Linked DNA regions of Macaca fascicularis. The protein of the gene in region 1 purifies or fractionates together with the protein of each later gene. This does not show direct contact. Links are inferred from orthologs where the notes say so. Each region holds a gene or a part of one and is shown in the gene's direction. Other genes may lie near its edges.

Region 1 (7,410 bases):
TTTTTTGTCTCGCTTTGTTGCCCAGGCTGGGGTGCATTGGCATGATCTTGGCTCACTGCAGCCTCCGCCTCCCGGGTTCAAGTAATTCTCCTGCTGCAGCCCCCCTGAGTGGCTGGGATTACAGTTGCATTCATTGTTGTAAACAAACAAGGGCAAGATTCTTACCAAGAGAATTAATGTGCATATTAAGCACATTAAGCACTCTAAGAGCCGAGATAGCTTCCTGAAATGCATGAAGGAAAATGATCAGAAAAAAAAGGAAGCCAAAGAGAAAGGTACCTGCATTTACCTGAAGTGCCAGCCTGTTTCACCCCGAGAAGCACACTGTGTGAAAACCAAGGGAAAGGAGCCTGAGCTGCTGGAACCTCTTCTCTGTGAATTCATGCATAATGTTTAAAAAAAAATAGCTAGGTGCGGTGGCTCACGCTTGTAATCCCAGCACTTTGGGAGGCTGAGGAAGGCAGATCACGAGGTCAGGCGATTGAGACCATCCTGGCTAACGCAGTGAAACCCTGTCTCCACTAAAAATAAAAATTAGTCAGGCGTGGTGGCGGGCGCCTGTAGTCCCAGCTTCTTGGGAGGCTGAGGCAGGAGAATGGTGTGAACCTGGGAGGCGGAGCTTGCAGTGAGCCGAGATCACGCCACTGCACTCCAGCCTGGGCAATGTAGCAAGACTCCGTCTCAAAAAAATAAAAAATAAAAGACCTCTGGACTGTAAAAATGTTTCTCTTCATTGAGTAGAAGTGTGGTGTCCTCTCCCCCAAAGAAATATTTAAGGCAAACTATAATTGTGTCCTAAGCCTAATTGTGTAGTGTCTTTACTATTCAAATTTAATGTATTTCTTGCTGAAAGATGTGCGATGGCTTATTGTGCAACAAATTACTCAATTGGTTAGAAAATGGTCTGATATTATTTACGAAATATTTGTACTGGTTTGAAGATAGTCCCTCTGAATAATCATGGAAGAAATGATTTACCAAAAAAAAAGAAAACATTTAAAAAGTTTCTGTTTCCAGGCTGGGCACAGTGGCCCATGCCTATAATCCCAGCACTTTGGTAAGCCAAGGCAGACACATCACTGGAGGCCAGGATTTCGAGACCAGCCTGGACAACATGGCGAAACCCCATCTCTACAAAAAAACCCACAAAAATTAGCTGGGCATAATTCCAGCTTTTTAGGAGGCTGAGGCATAAGAACTGCTTGAACCCGGGAGGGAGAGGTTGTAGTTAGCCAAGATTGCACCACTGCACTCCAGCCTGGGCGACAGAGCAAGACTCACTCACTGTAGGTGCTCAATAAATATTTTGTTGAATGATTGTTTAAGTACTCTTTCAAAATAATTGTTAAAAAAGTTATAATTTAAACTGTGTTTCTTCCTTGATAGTTACATTTTTGTACCATTTAATGCCATTTACAAAGCATTTATATACATAGAACTATAGGCATGTTGTGATAACTGGCATTGATAATAATTTCTGTTTTATAAATGAGGAAATTGATTCTGCACGTACTTAGTTAATTTGCCTAAGATCATGAAAAAATAGTAGCACACATGAGAATAGAACCTTCAGCTTCTTATTCCTAATTATTGGTTCTTCCTCCCACCATAAATGGATTGTTATTAAAACAAAGAAAATGTGGCCGGGTGTGGCGGCTCATGCCTGTAATTCCAGCACTTTGGGAGGCCGAGGCGGGTGGATCAGTTGAGGCCAGGAGTTCAAGACCAGCCTGGGCAACATGGCAGAACCCGTCTCTACTAAAAATACAAAAATTAGCCAGGCATGGTGGCACGTACCTGTAATCCCAGCTACTGGGGAGGCTGAGGCAGGAGAATCACTTGAACCTGGGATAGGGAGGTTGCAGTGAGCTGAGATCATGCCACTGTACTCCAGCCTGGGTGACAGAGCAAGACTCCATCTCAAAAAAACAGAAAAGAAAAATTGTTTTAAAATTATAATTGATGGTGGCCTTTGTCTCATGTGTCCATGTGAAGAGACCATCAAACAGACTTTGTGTGAGCAGCATGGCTGTTCATTTCACCTGAGTGCAGGCAGGCTGAGTCCGAAAAGAGTCAGCAAAGGGTGGTGGGATTATCATTGGTTCTTACAGGTTTGGGGACAGGCGGTGGAGTTCAGAGCAATGTTTTGGGGGCATGGGGCGGATCTCACAAAGTACATTCTCGAGGGTGGGGAGAATTACAAAGAACCTTCTTCAGGGTGGGGGAGATTATAAAGAACCTTCCTAAGGGTGGGGTAGATTACAAAGTACGCTGATCAGTTAGGGTGGGGTAGAAACAAATCACAATGGTGGAATGTCATCAGTTAAGGTTATTTTCACTTTTTTTGTGGATCTTCAGTTGATTCAGGCCATCTGGATGTATATGTACAGGTCACTGGGGATATGATGGCTTAGCTTGGGCTCAGAGGCCTGACAGCTTTCAGTCTGAAAGATAGCTTAATCATTTTTAAATTTCTCCGATAGGAAACATTTGTCCTTTTTTTGAATGATGTTGGGGGCTGGACAACAGATTTTTATTTTTATTGAACTGCTAAAATAAGGAGGGAAAACACAGACCCAGTACTTTCTCAGTTTGCTTAAGGCAGATTATAATAAAAGGAGTTTCATATATTTTTACTTGTGAAAGGAAGCAATTTATGTAACAAAAAAGATTACTGTGTTTTAAAAATCACCTGATAAAATACTATTTTTTAATTTCTTAAATCTTTGAATTCTGTTGCTGGTTTAGTAGTACATTCAGCTGTTAATATATGCTGCAGCTCATAGATATTTTTCTATTTCAGAGCAATAGTGTGGTTACAAAACCGACGTGAAGCCACTGTGGAACGAACGAGAACCACAAGCAGTGTTAGGCGAGATGACCCTGGAGAGTTTAGAGTTGGTCGTCTCAAGCATGAAAGAGTAAAGGTTCCACGTGGCGAATCACTGATGGAATGGGCTGAGAATGTCATGCAAATACATGCAGATCGGAAATCAGTTCTTGAGGTAATCTCATAAAATTAGATTTAGGGAACAGGAATGACACTTAGGGAACCAGCCCAATGTGTCTTCACTGCATTAAAAACTGTGGTAGGTAAACATGAAGAGGGATTTTCCTATTCTGTCAGCAGAAGCCTTCTCTGGCAGAGCATCTTTTTCATAAGAGGATGTCAGTCCACCTCCTTAGGGGTTAGGTCTTGCGCCATTAATGAGCAACAAAGAAGATCTCCACTCTTGAGGCGGCAAAGTGCTTGTTCTGCCTCAGGGCTTCTACGTATTTCATAACAAAGTTGGACTAAAATAATAGTACTCACAAGGGATTCTTTTTGACCCTTATATTAAACTGCACTGTTGGATATTTTGGGAGCACTTGGTTTTGTAATATTGTTTCACTTAAATTGTGCTTGGTATTATATCACTGGTCTGTGTTGAGAGATGTTATAGCAAATGGCAGTATGAAATTTAATATATTTAGTTTAGAAATGTTACTGTGGACATTGTTGGTTATATTTCGTATACACAGTATTCCCCATATGAGGAAGAGTGGAAATACCTCTCCTGTCACAGGGGTGAAACCAATTGGTTTGTTTTTAACTTTTGGATCATAAACTAATTGCAAGAAATATGATACATCTCTAGAAGATGTCCAAAGCTTTACGTCTTTCACTTTATATACAGACTTTCATTGTGTTATTCCTCCTACCCTTACATTCTTCTTCTTCTTCTTCTTCCTTTTTTTTTTTTTAATAGAGACAAGTTCTCACTGTGTTGCCCAGGCTGGTCTCAAACTCCTGGGCTCAAGTGATCCACCTGCTTCGGCCTCCCAAAGTGCTGGGATTACAGGCGTGAGCCACCATGCCCAGCTGCTTACATTCTTCTAATTTAGATAATCTTTTTTTTTAACCATATGCTATAGTTTTTATGATACTTTATGCAATCACTTTAAAGGTTTTTGTCCATGCTTTTCCTGTTGCAAAAATGATTTAAAGCGTCTTTAACTCAGAAATAAGCAGAAGAGGCCAGGCGCAGTGGCTCATGCCTGTAATCCCAGCACTTTGGGAGGCCGAGGTGGGTGTATCACCTGAGGTCAAGAGTTTGAAACCAGTCGGACCAACACAGTAAAACTGTCTCTACTGAAAATACAAAATTAGCCAGGCATGGTGGTGCATGCCGTAATCCCAGCTACTTGGGAGGCTGAGGTAGGAAAATTGCCTGAACCTGGGAGGCAGAGGTTGCAGTGAGCTGAGATTGTGTCATTGTACTCCATTCTGGGCAATAAGAGTGAAACTGTGTCTCAAGAAAAGTAAAAAAGTGGAAGAGTTTAGGCTTTGGTGTCACACAGACACACACAAAAATCTGTACACCATCATTTCTTCAAGCAAATTATTTCACCTCCTTATGTGAGATTTGGTTTCCTTTGGTGTAAAAAGGAGATAATTATTTTGCAGGGTTGTCGTGAGAAGTAAATGTGTGAATGATGCTTGGCACAGTGCTTAAGCATGTAATAGTGTACAGGTGGACTCTTCAGAAAAATTACAATAACACTCCTATGCTGTTTATAATATATACACTGCTATTTTGAAAAAAGGTATATTACTGGATCAGATATGATAAATTTTGGCAAGAATTAGATTATTTTAAAAATACCCCAAACTTTATTTTAACCCACAATTTATTTGTTCATATTTTAGGTTGAGTTTTTAGGAGAAGAAGGAACTGGCTTGGGACCCACATTAGAGTTTTATGCTCTGGTGGCAGCGGAATTCCAGAGAACTGACTTGGGAGCTTGGCTTTGTGATGATAATTTTCCAGATGATGAATCTCGTCACGTAAGAATATTTCTTATTTTGTGACTTGAGTTGTGACTCTGTTTTCAAAAGTGTTAAAAATAGGTTATGTGTTCAGAACATAAGCCAGGTTTCTGACTCTACTTTTATTATTGAATAATCTTGATACAACTAAAATATTTCTAAAGCGATAAAATTTAGTCACCAAAAGCTATTTAATAAAATTACATACTTTTAGATAGCCAAATTCATGAAGATGTTTAGTTTATGGATTTTTTTCTTAGATGATGATAGGCTTAGTTTCTATTACCTTTTGTTTAATTTTATTTGCATTTCACCCTCTAAAAAATTAGGTTGATCTTGGAGGTGGATTGAAACCTCCTGGATATTATGTGCAGAGGTCATGTGGACTGTTCACGGCACCATTTCCACAGGATAGTGATGAGCTTGAAAGGATCACGAAACTGTTTCATTTCCTTGGAATTTTCTTGGCCAAATGCATTCAAGACAATAGACTTGTGGACTTACCTATTTCTAAACCTTTTTTTAAACTTATGTGTATGGGTGACATTAAAAGCAATATGAGTAAACTGATTTATGAGTCACGAGGTGATAGAGACTTACACTGTACTGAAAGTCAGTCTGAAGCTTCTACAGAAGAAGGTCATGATTCACTCTCAGTAGGAAGCTTTGAAGAGGATTCAAAATCAGAATTTATTCTTGATCCCCCTAAACCAAAACCCCCGGCTTGGTTTAATGGAATTTTGACTTGGGAAGACTTTGAATTAGTAAACCCACACAGAGCCAGATTTTTAAAAGAAATTAAAGACCTTGCTATCAAGAGGCGCCAAATTTTAAGCAACAAAGGTCTTTCTGAAGATGAGAAGAACACAAAATTACAGGAACTAGTGCTGAAGAATCCATCAGGTTCTGGGCCTCCACTTAGCATAGAGGATTTAGGGTAAGCATTATATGTACATTCTTCAATCCAATGGATGAATAAGTTCTAAAGCTTTTGTTTCTTTGTCCTCACTGATTTGCAATATATGAGAAAACAGTCTGTCAAAAACAGTAATATGCTGTAGGAAATACTGATGATCGACTTGAACCTTGATTTAATATTATAAAGACAACACTCAGAATACTAGAATATTAGTTTATTAATCATCAGACCTTTAGAAGATTACTTGACTTAGCCAATGTGAATTTATATGCCTGTGTAAAATGTCTAGAGTCAACAATATTTTGACAAATTCATCTGCTAATATATGGCCCACTTTGCAAAGCTCAAAAATTGGTTGGTATGTCAGCTTTATCACCAATGGCTGTAGTAGCTGAGATGCTGCAGATCTTTTGATAAAACTCTGTTACTTTATGTACAGGTAATTATCATATCTTCAGCTGTGGTTTTAGGTTAACTGCAAGGCCTTTTTTTTTTTTTTTTTTTTTTTTTTTAATGTTCGCTGATAATGTTGGTAAGCTGTGTTTGATAAATGGTTATATAGTCAAGGTTTTTTTTTTAATGCATATTTTTGTACATAGCATGATTGACTTCAGTGAAGCAACAGTTTCTTCCTAAAAGACTTATAAACGTTGTCATCATAATTAATTGCAAAATTTTTAGTTAATTAATTTTGTGCCATAAGTTAGAAGTAAAATATAGAAAGGTGGTTTCATGCAATCTTCGCAAAGCCAGACAGATATGGTAACAGCTGGCCTAGTAGATTTTGTCCATAGAATATTGCATTTAAAAAGGCCTCGACTTCTTCTAAGCTGGTGTACTGATTTTGTTGGAGGAGGAGGGGCTGGGAATTATGGTTTTGATAGCCATGTTATTATATTTATTTAATTTTTTCTCTTGTACCCACTGATGGCAGATGATAGTCATGTTATAAAAATTAAACACCCTTAGTAGTAGCTGCATGTCAGTTAATTTAATCTTTTTTGTCCTCCCAGTTTAAATTTCCAGTTTTGCCCTTCCTCAAGAATATATGGTTTCACAGCTGTGGATCTCAAGCCAAGTGGTGAAGATGAGGTAAAAAAAAGTTCTGAAATATCCTCTTAGCAAAGCCAGTTGTACTAGACACTCCTGAAATATTTCTAGATACTGACAGATTTTCTTTTGCAGATGATAACAATGGATAATGCAGAAGAATATGTGGATTTGATGTTTGACTTTTGTATGCATACAGGTATTCAGAAACAAATGGAAGCCTTTAGAGGTAATTTTAAAGGATTTTTAGCATAATTGCTCTCCTTTGACTTTGAGACAGTTGAAATTATGGTCAAGAATTGCTGGTGGTTGGCTGGGCATAGTGGCTAACGCCTGTAATCCCAGCACTTTGGGAGGCCGAGGTGGGCAGATCATCTGAGGTTGAGAGTTCAAGATCAGCCTGACCAACATGGAGAAACCCCATCTCCACTAAAAATACAAAATTAGCTGGGCATGGTGGCGCATGCCCGTAATCCCAGCTACTCGGGAGACTGAGGCAGGAGAATCGCTTGAACCCAGGAGGCGAGGTTGCGGTGAGCCGAGATCATGCCATTGCACTCCAGCCTGGGTGATGAGCAAAACTCTGTCGCAAAAAAAAAAAAAAAAAAGAATTGCTGGTTGTCGGGTGTGG
Region 2 (7,410 bases), on another chromosome or scaffold:
GTCACCCAGTGTTTCCTTTCATGTTTATCTAAAAATCTAAAGCAGCATCACACACGTCATTTTCTCTCTTGAGAAAGGAACTGGAAAAAAGGCTGCAGGGCAGTGGAATTTGTATTTGTTTCATGCATTAACATTTAAAGTGACTCAGCGGGGTGGCTCACTCCTGTAATCCCAGCATTTTGGTAGACTGAGGCAGGCAGATCACTTGAGCCAGAGAGTTCAAGACCAGCCTGAGCAACATGGCAAAATCCCATCTCTACAAAACATACAAAAACTAGCCAAGCGTCTAGTGCACCTGTAGTCCCAGCTGCTCAGAAGCTGAGATGGGTGGATCACTTGAGCCTGGGAGGTCTAAGCTGCAGTGAGCTGTGATCACACCACTGCATTCCAGCCTGGGTGACAGAGTGAGACACTGTCTCAGACAACAACAACAACAATTTTTTTTTTTTTTTGAGATGGAGCCTTGCTCTGTTGCCCAGGCTGCTGGAGTGCAGTGGCACGATCTCAGCTCACTGCAATATCTGCCTCCCGGGTTCATGCCATTCTCCTGCCTGAGTCTCCCAAGTAGCTGGGACTACAGGTGCCCGCCACCACGCCCGGCTAATTTTTTTTGTGTTTTTAGTAGAGATGGAGTTTCACCGTGTTAGCCAGGATGGTCTCGATCTCCTGACCTCGTGATCTGCCCGCCTCGGCCTCCCAAAGTGCTGGCATTACAGGCATGAGCCACTGCGCCTGGCCCACAACAACAAATTTTAAGAGAACTAATTATATGCAGCATGAACTTTAGGAAGGTGCTGGGCCAAGACCTGGGATGGTGGGTGGAACCTTCAGAGGTAGCAATACTATTCCAAGCATCTAGCTTATAAGATTTTATATTGTATAGGGTGATGTTTGAGTATCTGCAAATAAGTACTCACTTACTAACAGTCTGCACTGAATATTTTAATACATTTAAAATTAAAAACTGCATTAAAGCCAGGCACCATGGCTCACACCTATAATCCCAGCACTTTGAGAGGTGGATTGCTTGAGTTTGGGTTTGAGACCAGCCTGGGCAACATGGCAAAAACCCATCTCTACAAAAAAATACAAGGATGAGCTGGGTGTGGTGGCACACACCTATAGTCCCAGCTACTTGGGAGGCAGAGGTGGGAGGAGCTCTTGAGCCCAGGAGGTTGAGGCTACAGTGAACTGAAATCATGCCACTGCACTACAGCCTGGGTAACAGGGTAAGACCCTGTCTAAAAAAAAAGAAAGGGGGAAAAAAAAAAGAAAACCTGCATTATTGATTTCAGGTTTGCAAAATGGTTGTTTAGCTATGATTGCTGACTCTTTATGCTTAGTGATTTCTTTCTAGTTCCTTTAAAATATTCTCTTATTTGTAGAGAGAAAAACAAAACAAAAGAAACAAACAAAAAAGCATTAACTAGAAAGCCAGAGAGTGATTCAGTGATTATGACTCCTGTGGGAACTTCCCAGTGACTCTGAGTCACAGAAACGACACAGTGGGAGATGAGGCCTGCATTCAGCTTCTAGGAGTCATATGCTGCTCACTGTAGCCAATTAATTTGGAGCTCAATGTTAGATCTTACAGGTTTCTAGAAAGACCAGAAATCTGGCTTTTGCAAGAACTCTTCCAATTGTTAAATGTAGCTTCTCTATTTCTGTTCTTTCTTTTGTTTAATGTTACATATATCTGTGGTTAGGTTGGTACCTATTGTACCTTGATGTCAGGTTCCAGCCCTGCCTTGGTCTCAGGTCAGCCTTGAGCACACCCTGAGCCTCCTGTGCCTGCACTCTGCTCTCTGAAGGGGGTCATCACTCTCCCCATCCTGCTGGGCTCTCCCTCACCAGCTCTTGCCTGGCCCTTAGCTCAGAAACACAGGGTGAGCACTTATGTCTTCATTTCTTTCCACAGTGGAGAGAAGCAGGCTTCAAGAAATGCTGTCACTGTTGGGCCTAGAGATGTACCAGGTCCAGAAACTCAGCCTTCAGGACTCTCTGCAGATCAGTTTTGACAGTATGAAGAACTGGGCCCCTCAGGTTCCCAAAGACTTGCCCTGGAATTTCCTCAGGAAGCTGCAGGCCCTCAATGCTGATGCCAGGAATACCACCATGGTGCTGGACGTGCTCCCAGATGCCAGGCCTGTGGAGAAGGAGAGCCAGATGGAAGAGGAGATCATCTACTGGGACCCAGCTGATGACCTTGCTGCCGACATTTATTCCTTTTCTGAGCTGCCTACCCCTGATACGCCAGTGAACCCCTTAGACCTTCTCTGTGCCCTGCTGATCTCCTCAGACAGTTTCCTGCAACAAGAAATAGTGTTGAAAATGGCCCTCTGCCAGTTTGCACTCCCACTCGTGTTGCCTGACTCGGAGAACCACTACCATACATTTCTGCTGTGGGCCATGCGGGGCATTGTGAGGACATGGTGGTCCCAGCCCCCAAGGGGCGTGGGGAGCTTCCGGGAAGACAGCGTGGTCCTGTCCAGGGCGCCCGCCTTCGCCTTTGTGCGCATGGATGTCAGTAGCAACTCCAAGTCCCAGCTTCTCAACGCCGTCCTCAGCCCGGGCCACAGGCAGTGGGACTGCTTCTGGCATCGGGACCTCAACTTGGGCACCAATGCCCGGGAGATTTCGGATGGGTTGGTAGAAATTTCCTGGTTTTTTCCCAGCGGAAGGGAGGACTTGGACATTTTTCCAGAACCTGTGACCTTTCTGAACCTGAGAGGTGACATCGGGTCTCACTGGCTGCAGTTTAAGCTCTTGACAGAAATCTCCTCCGCTGTGTTTATATTGACTGACAATATCAGTAAGAAGGAATACAAATTGCTGTACTCCATGAAGGAGTCAACCACAAAATACTACTTCATCCTGAGTCCGTACCGTGGGAAGCGCAACACAAACCTGAGATTTCTGAATAAGTTAATTCCTGTGCTGAAAATAGACCACTCACATGTCCTGGTGAAGGTCAGCAGCACTGACAGCGACAGCTTCGTGAAGAGGATCCGGGCCATTGTTGGGAATGTGCTGCGGGCACCCTGCAGGCGGGTATCTGTGGAGGACATGGCGCACGCAGCCCGCAAGCTCGGCCTAAAGGTTGACGAGGACTGTGAGGAGTGTCAGAAAGCGAAAGACCGGATGGAGAGGATTACCAGGAAAATCAAAGACTCGGATGCCTACAGAAGGGATGAGCTGAGGCTGCAGGGGGACCCCTGGAGAAAGGCAGCCCAAGTGGAGAAGGAGTTCTGCCAGCTCCAGTGGGCCGTGGACCCCCCTGAGAAGCACAGGGCTGAGCTGAGGCGGCGGCTGCTAGAACTTCGAATGCAGCAGAACAGCCACGATCCCTCCTCGGGGGTGCAGGAGTTCATCTCGGGGATCAGCAGCCCCTCCTTGAGTGAGAAGCAGTACTTCCTGAGGTGGATGGAGTGGGGCCTGGCACGGGTGGCCCAGCCACGACTGAGACAGCCTCCGGAGACACTTCTCACCCTGAGACCAAAGCATGGGGGCGCCACAGACTTGGGGGAGCTGCTCTGGCCTGAGCCCCTGGGGGTGGAACACTTCCTGCGGGAGATGGGACAGTTTTATGAGGCCGAGAGCTGTCTTGTGGAGGCGGGGAGGCTGCCAGCAGGCCAGAGGCGTTTTGCCCACTTCCCAGGCTTGGCCTCGGAGCTGCTGCTGACAGGGCTGCCTCTGGAGCTAATCGATGGGAGCACCCTGAGCATGCCCGTCCGCTGGGTCACGGGGCTCCTGAAGGAGCTGCACGTCCGACTGGAGAGACGGTCAAGGCTGGTGGTTCTGTCAGCCCTCGGGGTGCCGGGCACGGGCAAGTCCACACTCCTCAACACCATGTTTGGGCTGCGGTTTGCCACAGGGAAGAGCTGCAGTCCTCGAGGGGCCTTCATGCAGCTCATCACAGTGGCCGAGGGCTTCAGCCAGGACCTGGGCTGTGACCACATCCTGGTGATAGACTCTGGGGGCTTGATAGGTGGGGCCTTGACCTCAGCTGGGGACAGGTTTGAGCTGGAGGCTTCCTTGGCCACTCTGCTCATGGGACTGAGCAATGTCACCGTGATCAGCCTAGCTGAAACCAAGGACATTCCAGCAGCTATTCTGCATGCATTTCTGAGGTTAGAAAAAACGGGGCACATGCCCAACTACCAGTTTGTATACCAGAACCTTCATGATGTATCTGTTCCCGGCCCCAGGCCAAGAGACAAGAGACAGCTCCTAGATCCACCTGGTGACCTGAGCAGGGCTGCAGCCCAGATGGAGAAACAGAGCGACGGCTTCCGGGCACTGGCAGGCCTGGCCTTCTGTGACCCTGAGAAGCAGCACATCTGGCACATCCCTGGCCTGTGGCACGGAGCACCTCCCATGGCCGCAGTGAGCTTGGCCTACAGTGAAGCCATATTTGAATTGAAGAGATGCCTACTCGAAAACATCAGGAACGGCCTGTCGAACCAAAACAAAAACATCCAGCAGCTCATTGAGCTGGTGAGACGGCTGTGAGTGTGCAGAGAAACCCAGTTCAGGTGTAGGAGGCTGCTGTGAGCAGCCCTGTCTGATGGGGCACCCGTGTGGGCTGTGCCCTGGTGCCTGAGAATGGCCGGTGCCCAATCGACATGAGAAGACAAGCAAAAGACAGAGGGTTTGGAGTCTCCTCAACAGTGTTAAGAGAGGAAGTGACCTCACAGACCAGCTCAGAGATGTTACCAGGAATATCACAACCCCCAGGGTAGGGAGACACGCAGCAGTTTGTTCTGTCTCAGCTCCTGTCAAGGATCCCACGGGGTGGGCCCTCTGTATAGCTGCTCTCTGTCACTGGCCCCTGGAGTGGGAGCAGTGTCCTCGGTCACTGCAGGCCCAGGCGGGCAGGTGGTCCCAGGACAGAGGTGGGGAAGTTGTCTTGAGGAAGCAGAAGTAGGCCTTGCTCCCGCCCAGCCCAAGGGCCTCCAGTGGACCAGCATTTGAGATGTGAGTGCCCGTGGTGCACAAGGCACTCCCATGGCACTGTATTTATTGACTGAAGGCTTCCCTGACCCCTGCCCAGGAAAAGTTCATTGGTCGCTCTGTTGTGCCCCACAGCACTTTGTTATACCTCTGCCACACACTTCACGCAGCGCGTTGTAACTCATGTGTTTACATGTCTGTCCCCCAGACTGTGAGCTCCTTGAGGGCAGGGACTGTACATTCTCCAGCTCTGTGTCCCCAGGGCCTGGCACATTATAGATGCTTAATAAATGTCTGTTGAATGAATGAATGCACAAGTGATAGTAATGGGCAGGTTCTGCCTCTCTGTGCCTTAATTCTGTTTCTCAAAGAGGAGAGCAGCATCTGTCTGAGGACTGGGTATGGTAGAGGCAGTATCTGGAAGGGTAGATAGGGTAGAGATGTGCCCTATCCTGGCACATTTTAGTAAAAAGCCATCCTGTTCTCTCTCTTTAAGGCAGGAGCCATTCTTCAGGCTGTTACTGGGGGTTAAAACTAAATACCTTCACAGTAACTCTGAGGTCTTTCCATTGTCACCCCATTTCACAGTTGAGGAAAAGGAAGCCTAGAGGAGGTAAGCCCCTGCCCCAGAGCTCACATCTGGATGGACAGAGCTAGAGCGGATAAGGGGTGGTGCTGTCACACTCAGCCCTGCACCTCTTCCTCTCACCCTCTCCAGACTCCCATAGCTTCTGGGCTTACCCCTGGGCAGCCACGTCAGTGCCAGCGCCTCCTCTGACATCCTCCCCGACCTCATCCACAACCCACCATTCGAACCAGAGGCTTGGCCAAGAACTTGGGACTTCTGCCCTGTCAGTTCTGCTGGAATCCTTGCCTGCACTGGCCCCTCCCAGGGGCCAGTGTCACCTCACTGGGCCTCAGAACCCCACCCCAGCCCTTTCATCAGCTCTAGGAAGCTCTGCTTGATCCCCTGGGCCTTGCTTAGACGTTGGAGCCTCTTTCTCTTTGTGTTTCTTGACTTCAGAGAAACCAAGCCCTTTCCCAAGAGCTCCTACCATGTTTCTTGTCCTCCTTTCACCAGACACAGCAAGGGAGCCTTTAGCTCTCGGTAGCTCACCAGCCCTCTAGACTGGAATCCTTTCTTGAACAAAAGGCTTTCTGGTCCCTTTTCTGGAGATGCCTGGCAGCCTGCCTGCTGTGGGTTTCTGGATTCCCTGGATGCTCCACCTGCTGCTCCCGGGACATCCAAACTGTTGCCTCCTGCGTTCCAGGAGCCTGGTTCTCCACAAACCTGGTCTCTTGCTAATAAGTTTAGGAAAACCTTTCCCTTTTTTCATTTTCCTGCTCTGTTGCCTGGACTGGAGTTCAGTGGCACAATCTCACTGCAACCTCCACCTCCTGGGTTCCAGTGATTCTCAGCCTCTCAAGTAGCTGGGACTACAGGCGTCCACCATCACAAAAATACAAATAATTTTTGTATTTTTAGTAGAGATAGGGTTTCACCACGTTGGCCAGACTGTCTCAAACTCCTGGCCTCAAGTGATCCGCCTGCCTCAGCCTCTCAAAGTACTGGGATTACAGGAGTGAGCCACCGCACCTGGCCTCCTCCCACCCTTTTTGAAAGATTGATGTTTCAAGTCTGTGAACTGTGGATGGGCCTTGCCTTTAGCCCTCCAGTCAGTGCTGCTCTTAGGATTCCAATGAACATAACACCCAGGACTTGCCTTTCATATCTGGAGCTCAAAATGCTCACCTTCAGGTCTGAGAAACCCCAGAACTTGCCATGGGGCTACTGGACAGTCATGTTCTTGGAGCCAAGGTTAGTAGAGAGAGAGCCACCCAGAAAGGTGGACAGGGCAGCAGGCTGCTCACCAGAGCATGGCCGTCTGCTCACAAGGGGTCCTGTTTGATGAAAGTGTCAAACCAAGCAAGTACTATCTTGGAGGAAATGGGCCGGAAGAGTGCTTGGGACAAGGAACCAGGCGTGTCTTTGCTTCTCCTGTGAGATGGGGTGTAGCTTGCTTCAGCATGTTGGATGTCTGGCCTGGTTTTGAACCTCAGCCTTGCTTCCTACTAATTATATGACCCTTGAGCAAAGTTACTTGGCTTCTCCAAGCCTTAGTTCCCCCTACTAGCACCTTTGTAGGAATGGAAGATGCTTACACAGTGCCTGCCCTGTGGTGGAAGAGCCAGTCTGTGCATGAGATAAGTGAGGCACCCATCTCTGTGTCTACACCATTCTGCACACCCATGAGGCTTGTGGAGAGGAAACTGCCTTCTGCATCAGCCTCAAACATTTTAACATGTCAGATCAGGATTCATCTTTTAATCAATCAATGGTACCTTAAGATAATTTGCAGCCATTTTTCCTTCCTAATGGTATGTAAAACAGCATCTTCTCATTGATATTATCTTAATTTACTGAAACAGCACTGAGCAGGACTGGTGGTGGTGTGC

Evidence for each region.
Region 2: the proteins of HECTD1 (region 1) and URGCP purify together in Homo sapiens (affinity purification with mass spectrometry; 4 studies listed by BioGRID and IntAct, with this or other methods). This does not show direct contact. The link is inferred for Macaca fascicularis from reciprocal best matches to the Homo sapiens genes HECTD1 and URGCP.

The regions. Positions count from the first base shown.
Region 1 is NC_088381.1:98,926,708-98,934,117, reverse strand, and holds part of HECTD1 (E3 ubiquitin-protein ligase HECTD1), read left to right. Parts: intron 1-2,803; coding exon 2,804-3,005; intron 3,006-4,690; coding exon 4,691-4,828; intron 4,829-5,139; coding exon 5,140-5,747; intron 5,748-6,742; coding exon 6,743-6,821; intron 6,822-6,914; coding exon 6,915-7,008; intron 7,009-7,410. UniProt on the Homo sapiens protein: E3 ubiquitin-protein ligase which accepts ubiquitin from an E2 ubiquitin-conjugating enzyme in the form of a thioester and then directly transfers the ubiquitin to targeted substrates.
Region 2 is NC_088377.1:86,378,808-86,386,217, forward strand, and holds the end of URGCP (up-regulator of cell proliferation), read left to right. Parts: intron 1-1,918; coding exon 1,919-4,512; 3' UTR 4,513-5,259; downstream 5,260-7,410. UniProt on the Homo sapiens protein: May be involved in cell cycle progression through the regulation of cyclin D1 expression. May participate in the development of hepatocellular carcinoma (HCC) by promoting hepatocellular growth and survival.